2 linked regions of the Struthio camelus genome follow. The protein of the gene in region 1 purifies or fractionates together with the protein of each later gene. This does not show direct contact. Links are inferred from orthologs where the notes say so. Each region holds a gene or a part of one and is shown in the gene's direction. Other genes may lie near its edges.

Region 1 (7,572 bases):
AAAATATATCAGAGAAGAGTAAACGTCAGGGAGAGAGAAGAGTTATTTAAACTAAAGGACAATGTTGGCATAAGAACAAACAGGTCACCCTGAGATGCACAGGATAGGTGGCTCTGGCGATACAAAGACACCAAAATCTTCAACAGTTGTAAGTGGAAGCAACAATAATCTCTGCTCCCCCACACAGACATCTTTTCCAAAATGCTATTGTTATTAACTGGAAGGGTGACACGAAGCTCAGGCGCACCAGAAATAAAATTGTTTGCTTTCTTGTTCAAATAGAAACAAACATTCGGAAGAAGTTTCACGTGAAAAGTCTGGTCATTGGTGGCGTGTCTTTTGTCAGCCAGATAAGCATTTGTGCCTCCTTGCCTTGTTAAAAGGATAATCTTTGGAGACTTTCATGGCATCGTTCATGCAGAGGGTGGTGACTAAGCAGTGCAGTGATAAACCAGGCTTTCCCACTGAAGAAAAGAATGTAAAGGCTTAGTATCCCACTGAACATATCTAGCTTGATCGGAGAGGTGTCCAAGATTGACTAATCACCCATCAAATGTCTTTTTCCATCACGGACTAAGTAAAAATCACAAGAAACTATACACATCTTATTCATTATATGTGTGCCTTGGGGTGTTAGATGAGAACGTAACAGTGCATATTTATATCTGATGCAACTCATTCAAAGTCAACATATTTGCCCCTGGAATCAATTCACTCCAAGATGCCTAGGATATATATTTGTATATGCACAATATTCATTTCACTGATCGTCTAGAGCTTAATGAGATGGCATGTGCAAATCACTGTGAATCCAGGAATAACTCTGGGATTAAGTGTTTTTCACTCTGTCTTTTATGATCCATGCCAAACTTATAAAACTGTAGTCCAATGTAGTACCGTATACTAATTAATTAATATTTTCATTAGTGTCAGAATTCAATAATAATCCATTTGCAATAGAATTAAAGCAAATTAGACGAAATTATGTAACTCTTTGTACTTTCCGTGTGCCCTGAAGTGGTGCTAAAATACCACAAAACCTTGAGGCTCAAAGATGTCTTTACTTTCCAGGAAAAATAACGTACAGATTTTTAGAAGAATCTTACAGTTACTATGTAAGCCATGCAAAATGAAATGGACGTTATTTTTAATATCAGTAAAATGTACGACCGTTTCCTAGTTTCATGGCTTCTCAGCTGTTCAAATCCTCTTTATTCCTCCGCTGTCACTACTCACAGCTTTGGCATCAGAGCGTATTTAAATAGGAGGCACAAACGCTTGTCCTCAGGACTTTCCTTGCTGATTGTTTCCGGCCAACCGCGTAACTGTTACAGCAATGCTTACAGGATTTCTGGGAATACTTAGACTAGACAAGACCATGGTGGGCGCTCAGATCCTGGGGTGTCCTGTGTACCGCTACATTTCTGTGGTAGGTGTGCACAAAAACGGCAAAGAGATCCCTCAGTGAGATGGATTAAAAGGTGGATTAAAGAATTCTTAGCAAATGTATTGATATTTTACTTGGTAAAGGATAGTGTATCTTGCGTCCAGGGTTTAAGCAATAAATGTTAGAGACCAAAGAGAGACCTAAGTAGGTCCCAAATCTCTGAATGACAAGGTATGACATCTTCCTGCAACTGTCTGACGCTGGCCCCCATTATAGAGAATTCCAGATGATATTGACTTCAGTTTGGGCTTCATCCAACATGATGTTACTCAGTCGTGACCCAAGAGCTGAATCCACTAGGAAAATGAGGGAAGTAGGCGCTGATTAATGCAGGACTGAGATTTGTTCATTATGAGCTTGGTCTCACACCATCTGCTGCATCAGCTTTGTCTGGGTGAAAACCTTTCTGAGGAAGATGTTCAGGCCAGCTTTCAGGGAACATTTGTCAACCCTATGGGCTATAAGCTCAGTGGCACCTATGCGTAGTTATTAGATATTATCCTCACCTAGGTTTCTTTGCTTGTTAAAAAGAGACCACTTTCATATGTAGAAGATTCTTCTTTTTTAATCTGATTTGAGCTGAATTTTTAGAGAAAATACACTTTTTTTTGTAGAGTGGGAGTATTAAATAGAGTAGAATAGGAATAGATGTTTGTATGTTGATCCTACTACCTCTTCCTCTGTGGATACATGTTACAGATTTCTGTTTTCATCAGCAACCAGGAACAGTCAGTTCTTCACTTAAAGGCTCAGAGCTAGCCGTGGAGATCCAAGCTGTTTGCTGAGTAATTGTGAGCGTTTGGAAAGGATGAAGCAATGGTCATTCTTCTCAAGCATCAGGTCAAAGCTGAGACAGTCATGTGACATCATCTAAAAATACGGTGGTGATGGAATAGAAACTCTTCTCTCACCTCCCCCCTCAAATTAACAATGTGGGAGAAATAATGTTTTTACATGTATTTGCATGTGTTTCACTGTGTGAGTACTGAATAATAAAAGCTATGTTGGAAAGGTAAATGTATATCAGTCGCTATCGTTTTCTGTTTTTAAATTAGAGGCTTTAGAAAAAATGGGCCAATTTGGACATAAGCAGAGGTTGTACACTTTTAAAATTGCTTTATGTGCTTATTTTACACTGTATTTAAACACTAAATCTTCACAGCTACAACCTGAGGACATTGAATCACTAGTTATATTGTCTTCTATAAATCATCAGCCTTCGATTAGCAGGAAGAAGACTTGAAAACTCATTTCTCTTTTCTCTAATTTGATCTATAAGGACTTAAATCCTCCATATTATGAAATAGATACAGAAAGTATGGTATATAATACCATGCAATCTATATTGTGTAGTTCTATACTATATATACAACTGTGCAACTGTATGCATTACATACACAGTGAATACTGTATAATTGGTCATGATATATATACATAGTATAGACTATGCAATGTATATGCAACAACAAAGGAAAATTTTAAAGTCCAATTGAAGCATTCAAAACCTGGAAGGTTTGTAAAAACGGGTAACTGTTCAATACCTCCTCAACACTTCTTAGTTAAGAGAACACCTTACTAAGCCTTAAAACATGTTAAATTAATAAGGCTGCAGGCCCTGTTTAGTCGACGTTATCAAACCTTCTGTGGAGCACAGAATTTCTGAATTTTGTCTGACAGCTTTTCTACTGAGCTAACAGTTTAGGATGTCTGTGTTTTACAACATGAATTTCTCTTCAAATCCTCAGTTTCTCTTCTCTTCATCTTATGCCCCAGACAAGACTGAGAGAGCACTATTGTCACCATTTGCAAACGAGGTGTTGACTCATTAGGAGATCAAAGCTGTTAAAAGCTCCGAGAGAGGCTTAGGGCTTGAAGTCTCCGGCCATACCCGAAACACCTTTTGTTCAGCACCTTCTTCTCAATAACCCCAGTGGCTGTGGTGAGTACTTAGTGTTTTGTCAGGCACACCACTGGCCCTCCAGACGGACAGCCGTGATCCGTGTTCTTCCTGGTGGCTGAGAAAAAAACGCTTTCGATGGGCTTGCTTTGACAGAGTCCCAGACAGACCAGGTCCCCGGAGCGGCATCCAGCTGACTTCATCTCAGGACAAGTCTGTCTCTTGCCACCTCTCTTGTCCCCTGCGCCCCTTCCAACTTCTTTAGCAAACCAGGTGGAGAACAGACAAAACCTCCTTCTCGCAGGGCGATGACTCATTCCTTGCCCGCTCTAAATCCGCGCAAAGAACGGATTGGAAGCGCCATGGAAAACGGCGTGGTCGTTAGCGGAGACGAGCACGCAGCGTGCCCAAGAAGGGGCCAGATTAAAGCGGAATGGATGACGTTAATGCTCAGGTTTCCTAACCTGTAAGAGAAGCTCGCTGGACTTTTTTTTTTTTTTTTTTCTTGGAGACACACTTCGGACCAAAGCAAAATGTTTTAATAAAAAGGTACAATTCAGTTTCCTCTCACTGAAAACGTTTCCCCATCTCCCGCCCAAAACGTGCCTAAAACCAAACACTTCTTACTAGACAGAAAACTCGCGTTTTCACTCAGGGCGGTCAAAGGAGCGCAGGCTTAGAGGGGGGCTTACACGTAGGGACGGGACCCCGCCTCATAGAGAGGGGGGGGGTCCCCGTTCCCCCAGGAAGGACGGGCGGGGGGGTCCCCGTTCCCCCACGAAGGACGGGGGGTGGGGCAAGGCCGGGCTGCCTGGGCCGGGCCGCGCCGGGCGGCCTCCCCGCGGCGGGACGCTAGGGGGCGCCGTCGCCGGAGCTCGCCGGCCCGGGTGTCCGCGCTTGGCGGCGGGCCGGCTCCTCGGCGCCGCGCATCATGTGGGCCAGCCCCTTCCATGGAGCCGGGGTCGCCGCCGCTGAGCGTCTGCTGGGCGGACGCCGCCATGAGGCTCTGAGGGGCGGCTGCGCGCGGGGGAGCGAGCCGGCCGCGCGGCGGAGCGCGCCCAGCCTCGCGCCGGCCTCGCCGCGGGAGGGCGGGCGGGGAGCGCAGCGCAGCGCAGCGCTGCGGGCGGCGCCGCTGCCGCGGGTCCGGCCGGGCGGGCGGGCGGCCCGGCGCCATGTAAAGCGGCAGCGGCCCGGGGGAGCCGAGCCGAGCGTGGGGAGAGGAGCCGGAGGCGGCGGCGGCCGCGGGGCCCCGCGGGGGGAACATGGCGACGTCTAATCTCCTGAAGGTGAGGGCGGGCCGCGCCGGCCGCTGCCGGAGGGGCAGGCGGGGGCCGGGCGCCCGGGGCGGCCCCGCGGGGCCTGCGGGCCGCCGGGGCTGGGGCGAGCGGGGGGCGGCGGGGCCGGGCGCGGGCCGCTCGCCTCGGCCACCCCGCGGCCTCTGGGCTGCTAGCGGGCCGCCCGCCCTTCCCAAACCTGCGCCGCTGCGAAACAACGTTGCGCCGTGCTGTTAGGCCGGGCGCGGTGCTGGCTCTCTTGTTTAGATTTTTCTGCAACCCTGGATGTGCAGAAAACGAATTTTAAGTTGAGCCAGGGGTTGAAAAACGCCGCTGCGGGGAGCAGGTGTTGTGACTTGGGGGGGCCCTCTTTTGTTAACGGCAATTTTTCTGCAGAGAAAAACTCTCCCAGGCCTTTCAGTTGCGTCGAGCAGCTTTACTCGCATAGCGAGGGGTTTCCAGGCGCTTTGCCCATGTTTGAGGACAGATGTCAATCATCCTAACCTGTTGCAAATTTTAGGGGGAGTTTTTGCTGTGACAGCCCAGTATTTGCGTCCAGGACTGTCTGTCCAAATTTTGGTGGCGTGCGTATAGATCAGGCTGTATGTGGCCTTTGAGGCTGTGCCAGCACGTGGAAAACGGGCCTACTTAAAGCAGCTGTTACTAATGCCTCCAGTAAGTGTTTCTAGATCCTCAGTGTAGTTGTGGTGAAAGGCTTGTGAAAGATTGCTAGCTTTGTTTAACTTTATCGGCTAGCAGTTAAAATATATGTAAAATAAATATCTGTGTTCAGCGTCGTGTGTTGTATTCAGGTATGGTTCTGGAAAAGTGCTTCTTACATTTCAGCAAGCTGACCTATTTCAGGTGTGTGGATTTGTCCTGAAACTGTGGGTTATATTACTCTAAGACACTCAGTTTGCAGAAATGAGAAATAATTGATAGCCTTGTTTCTTCCTCGTGTCCAAAGAGAGAGGTTTTCTGTCATAAAGACAGAGCTTTAAAAAAAAAAAAGTTTTTCTTGAAATTGAAATGTAACGGAAATTAGTTCTTTTTCATTTCTCTTAATTCTTTTTCTTCCTGTGAAAATAAGCAGTTAGCTTTTTAAACTATGTAAGGTGTTAATCAAAGTCTAACTTGGAAGAATCCACACATTCTGGCAAAAAGCATAATGCCCCACAAGAGTTTCTGGAACAAAATGTTGGGGTTTTTTTGTGGAAGAGTATTGCTTTAGAGTAGGGTTCAAACAGTTTATCTACTTGATATTTAGTCCATTGCTTTGCAGTATGTGTAAGGGTTTCTAGGAAGGCTGAGAGGCGCGTTGATGAGAACGTGGTTGTGTAGCCCTCAGCAGCTAGAAGGCCTGTGAGATTTATCAGCATTCTGCTTCACCTCTTCTGAAAACTACTAGGTGTGCAGCAAGTGAAAATACAGTCAAAGTTCTTGACTCTGTGAGATGGTTCCTAATGACTTGAAGCCCTTTTGTTTGCTAGTGACAGCTTCACCACTGGCCTTTGAATCATTAATATTTTATGTTGACAAAAAGTATGTTTCAGGGAAAATGCTACAGGGAGATACTTAGAGTAGGCCTTTCTGGTGACTTGGGAGCTAACTTAGTAAGTTTCCTAAAGATAATAAAGTATGAGTTCTACATTACAAAAGAGAGCAATTAGACAGTGATTTCACTTTGTTTATAATGACAAAATAAACCAGTGAGAGAGTTGGAACTGGATGAGGGTTTTTGTTCCACAGTTCTGACACTCAGTGTGCTCCCGGAGAAGCAAACCGTTGATTGATTGAATGTCAGTGCTGTTGCCAGTGCCTCGCACTAGGGGGGAGCAATATCCCCTAGTCGGTAAAAATCCGTGGGGTAAGAAAGGAGAGATGTTAAAATCTTGAGGGAGGTCTGTATTTTTCCAAATTAGCCTGTATGCTAATGTAAGCCAGGTTGAGGCAGGTTCTATTTTTTGCTAGGATAAACAGGAACTAAGAGTTTTCTCTGGGTTTCCCCCATCCTCTCTCGACCTTCTACATAGTTGAGAAAATGAAGTGGAATATTCCTTTCCTATTCTAGTAATGGGTACTGGCTGAAGTGAAATCTGACTGGCTGCCCTTGTTTTAGAGGGCATCATTTAAACTCCACTAGTGCATGGTTTTTCTTAAGTGTAAAATGTGCTTGATTTTTAGGGAGAAGCATATTCTTAGACTTCCTTCTTTAAATGCAAAATTAGTATGACTAATCATATGTTGACTCTTGATGAGATGCAACAAATTTCAGTGTGATCAAAATATTAAACTACTTAGGAAGAGCTAGCCATTAAATGGGCAAGCTAGTTTATACTCTACCTATAGCAGGACTACTGTCCCATGTTAAGGCTGTGACTTTTCTGTAGGCTGTGGCTACAGCTCTGTGGCTGAGTCTTTGCTAGATTCGTTCCTTAGTACTTTTTCTTTCAACATACTTGTGGTCCTGGCTCTTTTAAAGTGGAGTACTTTGTTTCAGGGGATGTGTTGGACTTGTAACCTGTTCATTTTGCAGTGACAAAATAGTCTAAACCAATTCACTCATGTGACGTGAAGATGCACGTGTTTTCCTGCGGTTCCTGAGGCGCAGAACAGCTCAGTTTACTGCAGCATGAAGAAAACTTGTAGCTGTATGTATGCTAGCACATCCTGGCATTTCTCTGCAGCCTTACTGGAGGTGCTGGCAAATTCAAGAGTTGGCCCTTGCAGTCACAGGACTGGAGATTGAGCCTGGTATTAGGAGGGAAGAAACAAAACAAGCAGCAGATTTTCTGTAGGCTTGAGTGAAATGAGAACCACAGTTTACCTTTCCCTTTGTTTTAACTATTTTTCTTGATTTCATGCCTTTGTCACTGACAACTGGAAGCATGTCTGAAATTTTTGAATTCTTCAACCTAAAATAAATACTTCCAGATCTGTGGTTTACATTTGTC
Region 2 (7,083 bases), on another chromosome or scaffold:
AGTTTAGTATCCTCAGCAAACTTGCTGAGGGTGCACTCTGTCCCTTCCTCCAGGTCACTGATGAATATATTGAACAAGACTGGACCCAGGACTGACCCCTGGGGGACACCGCTAGCTACAGGCCTCCAACTTGACTCTGCGCCATTCACCACAACCCTCTGAGCTCGGCCATCCAGGAATTAAGGTGCTGCCAGCAGCTTTGTGAGTGCTCTCAGTCTCTCCAAGCATCCAGACACAGCAACTGTCTCCCATCACCGCCAGTGTCAGGAGAGCTTGCAGGGACCTGTTGCCCCATTGTGGGCACAGGACCACCTTTTACCCTTCTGGAAGGACCTCCTCTGCCCAGGTCCTACCATTTCCCAGGTCCAGTGAAAGAGCCTAACACTGGAGGGTCATCTAATTCATAGTAAAGGACCACACTATCTGTCATGTGCTGAGGAAAAAACCAAGCCCTGCTTCAACAGTGTGCTGAGTTGCAGGCCACCTTTAAAGTCCCTCCTGCTGGTGTCTGATAAAATATAATCTCTCCTTGTCTCCATATTTCTAAAGATACTCTCACAGCCTAGCCAGGCTGGCAGGGAGGTGCTGCAGCCCCAGGTGGAGGGCATGCAATGGAGACAGGCAGCTGTGAGGAGTCAGACACAGGCTTTGCTGCACCAGCCTGGCTATATCTAGTAGAGCTGGCTTGCGGCAAGTGGATTGTTCTGGTGTTTAGGTTCAGGTGATTTTTTTCCTCCTCTCTCCATCCCTCTCAGATAATTCCAGGAAGCCACAGCAATGCAGGCAGCCCCAGGAAGCCAGCAGCTTCTGCCCAGCCCGCTCACTGCAAGCATCCCTGGGCCAGTTGGGCTTGCGCTAACAGGGGCACCAGGCTGTTCTGGACCTTGCCCCATGTCTGCCACAGTCCCCTTTTCCCTGTTGCCGAATCCTCCTACACAGAGGCAGCAGTCAAACTGCCATTCCTCCATGGCCATCCAGCCCTCCATCCCCAGCCTCCCAACCATCCCATCTTCCTCCCCCTCTCCCCACCCCAACCATCCAAGGGGATTTCAGAGATCAATGTGAGCATGCCTCAGAAAATAAGCAGTGGCACTCACAGGGTTAGCAGGATGTGGGAATGAGAGCTGATGCTCTGAAGACTAATAAAAGTTGAGTTCATGCCTTACCCTTAACAGAGGTACAGATGTGCTCTATCCCCTCCTTCGAATTATGGATTTTCTTGAAAAAGGTAGGAATGTCCCCTCTTACAGCATCTTTGCTGTCACATTTGGTTAGAAAAGAGCCATGGAGGTAAAAGAGATTTGGGGGAAAAGGGGAGTCAGAGGGGCTAATGTTGACTGGGTGCTGTTGAGCCCTGCTCTGGACTGTGGGCAGCCAGACCCCACTGATATGCACAGGTGTGTGCATGTGTGCATCGGGAAGAAACCTCTCAGACTCTGTAACCCTGCAGCGGCACCAGGAATCTGCAACCCATAGCCAGGATATGTTATCAGCCAAATGCAGTCCTGGCCTTACTGCAACATCTCAACCTACCCTCTGCTCCTGGAAATCTATAGGCTTGACCCCAAATGTTAATTTGATTTAATACAGCAATGTTTTCTGGAGATCTCCAGCACTCAAAATCACTGGAAACGCCCCAAAGGAGGAGGCGGTTTTAATGCAGTAGTGTTTTCTGGAGATCTCCAGCACTCAAAATCACTGGAAACTCCCCAAAGGAGGAGGTGGATGTGTGGGTTGCAGGGCTGGAGCGGAAGGAGCCAGCAGCCTCCTTGGAATACAGATGAGTTTCCCTGGTGCTTGCCGAGTTCAAGGCCCACTCAATCCCTGAGGAGTAAGGAAATTGGGGGTGGGTTAGAGTGTCATTTTAAATGGGACTAATTGTTACATGCAGCAAGGCAGCCAGGCTGGGAACCTAATTAGTGGGCTGGCTGGCTCTAAAAAGATTAGCCAATATCCATTGTTTAACACACAGCTACCTCAGTGAGCCTTGCAAGAGAGAGGATCCTCACTCAGCCAGACCCCAGGATCTTCCAGAGCCTCCAGCCCTCCTTCCTACCACAGTGGCCCCACACAGCCTGGGCAGGCAATAACACTGTGGCACCCCATCTGTGCCCCACTTCTTGGGGGGGGTCAGAGGGCTCTCATAGCCCAGAGTGCTTACAGTATGATAGCCAAGGAGTCCCTGGCCCCCCAGAAGGAGAGGAACAAGCTAGGTACCCACTCCTGCAAGTCTCCTTTGCAAAGCAAGCTGAGCTGAGCAGATGCTGGGGTGCCGCGCTGTCAGGGTGCCCAATGGTCAAGATGTTTGAGTGCAGACACCGGCGCTGCTCTGAGATGGCCACAGCCTGGAGGTACTATCTGGTATTGAAATGCAAATGAGATGAGCCAGGAAAGAAAAGACAGGAAAAGAATGAGGCTTTGAAACAGGGCTGCAGGATGTTCCCATCCCTGCTGGTGGTTAGGAGGACGAATTCACTCCCTCAGATATCTACAGCACAGTTAATGGTGCGGTTTGCCTGGTGACTGCCCAACAGCCTGATGGATGAGCTGCAGGCTGGAGCAGTAAGAACAGCAGTAAGAACGGTGAGACGTGGTTCCCCCCCCAAGTTTAGGGCCTTAAAGCAATTCCTCTTGGAACTGAGCTCATTCTCCAAACATAGGAATCCTTCCTTTCCCTCCAGATCACTGATAGTACGGCCTTAGGGGATCGGAATAGAACAATTTGATTTCCTTTCCAGGCTATTCTCCATCACAATGGACTTTTAATCCCAAGTCTCTCAGGCTGCTCAGCCCACAGGGCAGGCAGGCTGTTTGTCAGGATCAGCCTGCTGACTTAGCCCACCTTTGAAAGCTGGCCTGCAGGGCTAGATCTCTCCTTAAAGCCATTGCAGGCCTGCAGCATCGCCTGACTCAGCCCTGTGCAGCCCTCAGGGCAAGTGAGTGGGATGTGCAGTGGGATGCAAGCCGGCAGTGGGTGCAAGTGGCACAGGCTGGAACGAGTCCAGCGTGTGAAAAGCTGTATCGAGTCCAAAGCTTGTGGCAGCCACTGGGAAGAGTCCCACTGGCTCCGCCAGCCCTGAATCAGGCCCTACATGGTCCTTCCCACCTTGACCTGGCTCCCTCTCCTCAGCGACATATGGCTGAGATGGATCACACTTGCTCTGTGCTAGTTTCTCCTCTCATCTTCGCACTGAGAGCCTGATTCAGTAAAGCACTTAATGATATGCCTGACTTTAAACACATCCTTAAGAGCCCAGGTGAATCAGAGCCCAAGACAAAGAATTAATCTGCTTTCTTCTTTTCCCCTCTGGCCTGGGGAGCCCAGCTGTTAAATTCCTGTGATCTTTCTTCTCTCCCACACTCTGCTCTGGGGCAGACTTCTGTATGACCCTCTCTGCAAAGGCATTTCAACATACCACAGGGAAGCTGCAGCCTGGTGTGCTGATGCACTTCAGGCACCCTCATTGGAGCTGCAGGGGCTGATCCCTGCCGCGGCAGCACGCGGGAGCCTGGCGGTCCCCACCAGCTGGGCTCCCCACCGGCCTGCCCCCCTCCAGCCTACCTCACACCGAGCCTCCCCCCGACCCACACCTGGTCTGCCCCCATGCCTGCCTGCCTGCCTGCCAGCCTCCCCCTGCCCCTGCCCCACACCCGTCCTGCCCCCCGATGGCCACCCCCTGCCACACACCTGGCCTGCCTCCCCCTGCTCCTGCCCTACAGCCGGCCTGCCCCCTGCTAGTCTCCCCTTGCCCCACGTCCGGCCTACCCCCCTGAAGGCCTCCCCCTGCCCTACAGCCGGCCTGCGCCCCCCGCCGCTTCCTCCGCCCACATGTGCCCCGCCCCGCCCCGCAGGGAGCTCCCCGACTCCCAATCCCAGCATGCCCTGCTCGAGCGCGTCCTCAGCGGCGGCGGCCAGGCCTCGCAAGGCACGCCGGAAGCTGTAGTCTGCGCCCTTCAGCACCTCCCACAGACGGTCGGTCGATGCAGCCTGGCAGTCCCGCCCCCTCTTTCGTACGTGGCTTCCGATAGGCCAGAAGAGCGCGGGAGGGGCGAGGAGAAACGTGGGAGTAGGCGTGGTGGGGTGGTGGCAGTGGTGACGGACGTGGCGGCAAGCCTATGGAGACCGGGAGCCGAGCAGGGCGCTCGCTGCGGCCTCACCGTCGGCCGGCCCGGGTGCTGCGCGGCGGCGTCAGGCGGAGCTGGTGGCGCCGGAGGTGCGGCCGTCCTGGCGGCGGAGCTGCCCCGGCCCCGGGGCGCACGCCCGGCCGCGAGGTGAGTGCACCGGCGGCAGCCTGCCACTGCAGGCCTCCCTCGGCCGCGGGAGGGGCAGCGGGCTGGGCCGGGCTCCGTGGAGAGGCGGGGGCGCGCTGGGTCCCGGCCGCCGCTGGCAGGGCTGAAGCTCGGTCGGGGGAGGCGGCGGGCCCAGGCCTGGGGCGGGCAGGGCCGCACCGGGCGGGCAGGCTCGCGGCGCCTGGCGCCCGGGCCCCCGACCGCACTCTGGGGCGCCGCGGCGAGGCCCCGCTCGCGGGCGGCTCCGGCGGGGCGGTGGGCCGCTGCCGCACCGTGTTCTCCGCAGAGCCGGCGGGTGATGGGCTCCGCGCTGGGAGCTGTTGCTCCGACTTCAGTGGCCTTGAGGAGAATCAAGTGCGATTTCTTTGTCAGCAGCTGGGAGGAATGCTTGCTTAATTAATAAGATGCTAATCACGGGTGAAGGAACTAAGATTTTTTTTTTCTTCTTTTTTCTTCTCTCCCCTCCTTCCCCCAGGTGTCTGAGCGTATCTTGGCAGAGAAGATTAGATGCAAGATGGGGAAGATGGAGGGCTCGTTCTGAGATCACCTCCTTCTTCTCTTTCCTTTTCTGCCTCCCTTTGAAAGGGGGAGAGAGATAATCATTCTCATACATTTATCTTTAAAAACTCAGAGGCTGGAACTGGAGCTCCCTTCAATCTGGCTGTGTGTTTAGTATGCGGTTTGTGCCTCTTCACTAATGAGAGGGAGAATGGGAACCCAGGGAAGCCCTGTGAAGAGCTATGATTATCTGCTCAAGTTCTTGTTGGTAGGAGACAGTGATGTTGGTAAAGGAGAAATCCTGGAGAGCCTTCAAGATGGAGCATCAGAATCCCCTTATGCCTACAGCAACGGTAAGGCTTTTGGAAGGGGTGGTGGGCGAAAGCTCTGTCCTGTGACATTACAGGTAGCTTTAGATAAGGTGAATGATCTGTGCTTTCACAGTTCTTACTGAGCTGCAACTCTGAAATCTTGTAATGTATAGAGAAAAGGAACTCTGCATTATATCATTGTTAATAGAAAAATCAATTTTGGGGAGGGAGGGGCTCTTTTTTTTTTTTTTTTAATTGAAAATATAATGCGGTTTATTAGGGTTTGCATTCATGGTAGTCGAAAGGTGCTGACTGTTCCTTAAAATCACAGAGGTCTCCTGGAGATTCTGACTAGAGAGATGCTAAAGAAGTTGGTGTCAGATGTAATCACAAGACATGCAAATCCTTAAGCATAACTGGACCGTTACCAAACATAGCTCTGGTTGTATATCCTACTTAAACAGCCAAATCTATTTTCCATCATCACAGCAGGGGTTAATGCAAGGATTGATTGGTACTAAAAGGAAGTACTATGGGGTCTGCAACAAAAGAACAGTAACGTTATTTCCAGACTAAAGCTATTTATGACTTGGTACTTGGGTGTTGAGAGTACAGATTCATCTGTCTGCCCCCTGCAAACATCAGGGTGTACGATGGAGCCCATGACAGACCATTAACTATAGTGTCACAAGATTATAATTAAGAGCCAAGGAGTGACGCTGTGCTATTTCCTGCATCCCTTCACTGCAGTTAAAACGTAACACTGCCTGGTATGGTACAGGTCCTGGGGTGATTTTCAATCTGTCATAGATTTCACCATCTTCAGTGCAAAACAGTGGCCCCAAGGGTTTGACAGAAACGATCTAATTCAGATCCTGCATCCTCACCAGAACCAACCTGAGGGCTGGAACAGTTAGTATTTAGTTTCATCCGAGATAATCAGGTGCTTCTGGACGCTTTGGGCTGAAGCTGGCTGAATTTAGAGTTTAAAGGAGCAGTGTGGCTCAATTCCTAACTGTATAATAGTCCTCAGAACTAGTATCATCGTTTTAAGAACTGATGCAAGAGCACACCTGATCTGCAGATATTTATGGGGAAGCAGTGACTCAGAAAAGTCAGAATGGTTGTGAAATTGGAGTAGCAAATTCTGGAACTAGAGGATTGTGGTATCATTCATCTGTTTGGATGTCTGGCTGAGCTTCTGTGGTTTACCTTGGAGGAGTTACTTGACACTTCTAAGCTTCCCTGAAGAGACATTTTATCTCTGAAGAACCTGCCTCAGTTGGGAGCTATAGAACTGCTCCTTGGGATAAATATTTACTAAACAGAAATGGATGAAGAATAGAACAGGGATTGTTGTTTTGAGTTGGAATTGTCTTCTAATATAAATGATTTTAACCATTGTTTAGAAACAAGTGGTGGAATAATAGGTATGATTGAAAGGAGCATCTGTGTGTGATGGTACAAAAACAAAAAAAAACCCCAATTTTGTCTATAACTAAAAAAGTTTTGTCCCTGTACCCACTATTTTATAGCAAGACAATACTGCCATCTTTTTCTAGAAAAAAGAAATAACAGTACACTAATGTATTTAAAACCTTCTCCTGTCTTCTGTAGGCAGTGGAACCCATTCTTATGTAGTGAATTTTATACAGTCAGATACTGGGTTTTTTTTGTTTTTTTTTTTTCCTGACAATATATGCTTTAGTAGTCTCTAATTCTGTTGCTTCTGCTAAATTGCATGCTTTTTGGATAATCAGATTGAACAGCTTTGCAGTTTCAGTGAATTTGATACTGCTGATATTCTTGACAGCCTTGGCAATCGAATTTCCTGTGTCTCTGAAATAGCTGGGATATAATACTGACAGTGCAAGTGTCTCTGCCAGCATGCTTTAGCTGTGCCTTGACAAGACCAAGTACCTTCATATCAAGGGACGGACTTTGTGAACATTTAATGCTTGGCCTCCTGGCTGAAGCAGCTGGC

The links. The genes of interacting proteins can lie anywhere in the genome.
Region 2: the proteins of CUL5 (region 1) and RAB40C purify together in Homo sapiens (affinity purification with mass spectrometry; 5 studies listed by BioGRID and IntAct, counting the BioPlex papers as one, with this or other methods). This does not show direct contact. The link is inferred for Struthio camelus from reciprocal best matches to the Homo sapiens genes CUL5 and RAB40C.

Annotation. Positions count from the first base shown.
Region 1 is NC_090942.1:205,700,906-205,708,477, reverse strand, and holds the start of CUL5 (cullin-5), read left to right. Parts: upstream 1-4,506; 5' UTR 4,507-4,606; coding exon 4,607-4,630; intron 4,631-7,572. UniProt on the Homo sapiens protein: Core component of multiple cullin-5-RING E3 ubiquitin-protein ligase complexes (ECS complexes, also named CRL5 complexes), which mediate the ubiquitination and subsequent proteasomal degradation of target proteins.
Region 2 is NC_090956.1:21,176,054-21,183,136, reverse strand, and holds the start of RAB40C (ras-related protein Rab-40C), read left to right. Parts: upstream 1-4,053; 5' UTR 4,054-4,272; intron 4,273-4,578; exon of another isoform or gene 4,579-4,644; intron 4,645-4,765; 5' UTR 4,766-4,987; coding exon 4,988-5,141; intron 5,142-7,083. UniProt on the Homo sapiens protein: RAB40C small GTPase acts as substrate-recognition component of the ECS(RAB40C) E3 ubiquitin ligase complex which mediates the ubiquitination and subsequent proteasomal degradation of target proteins.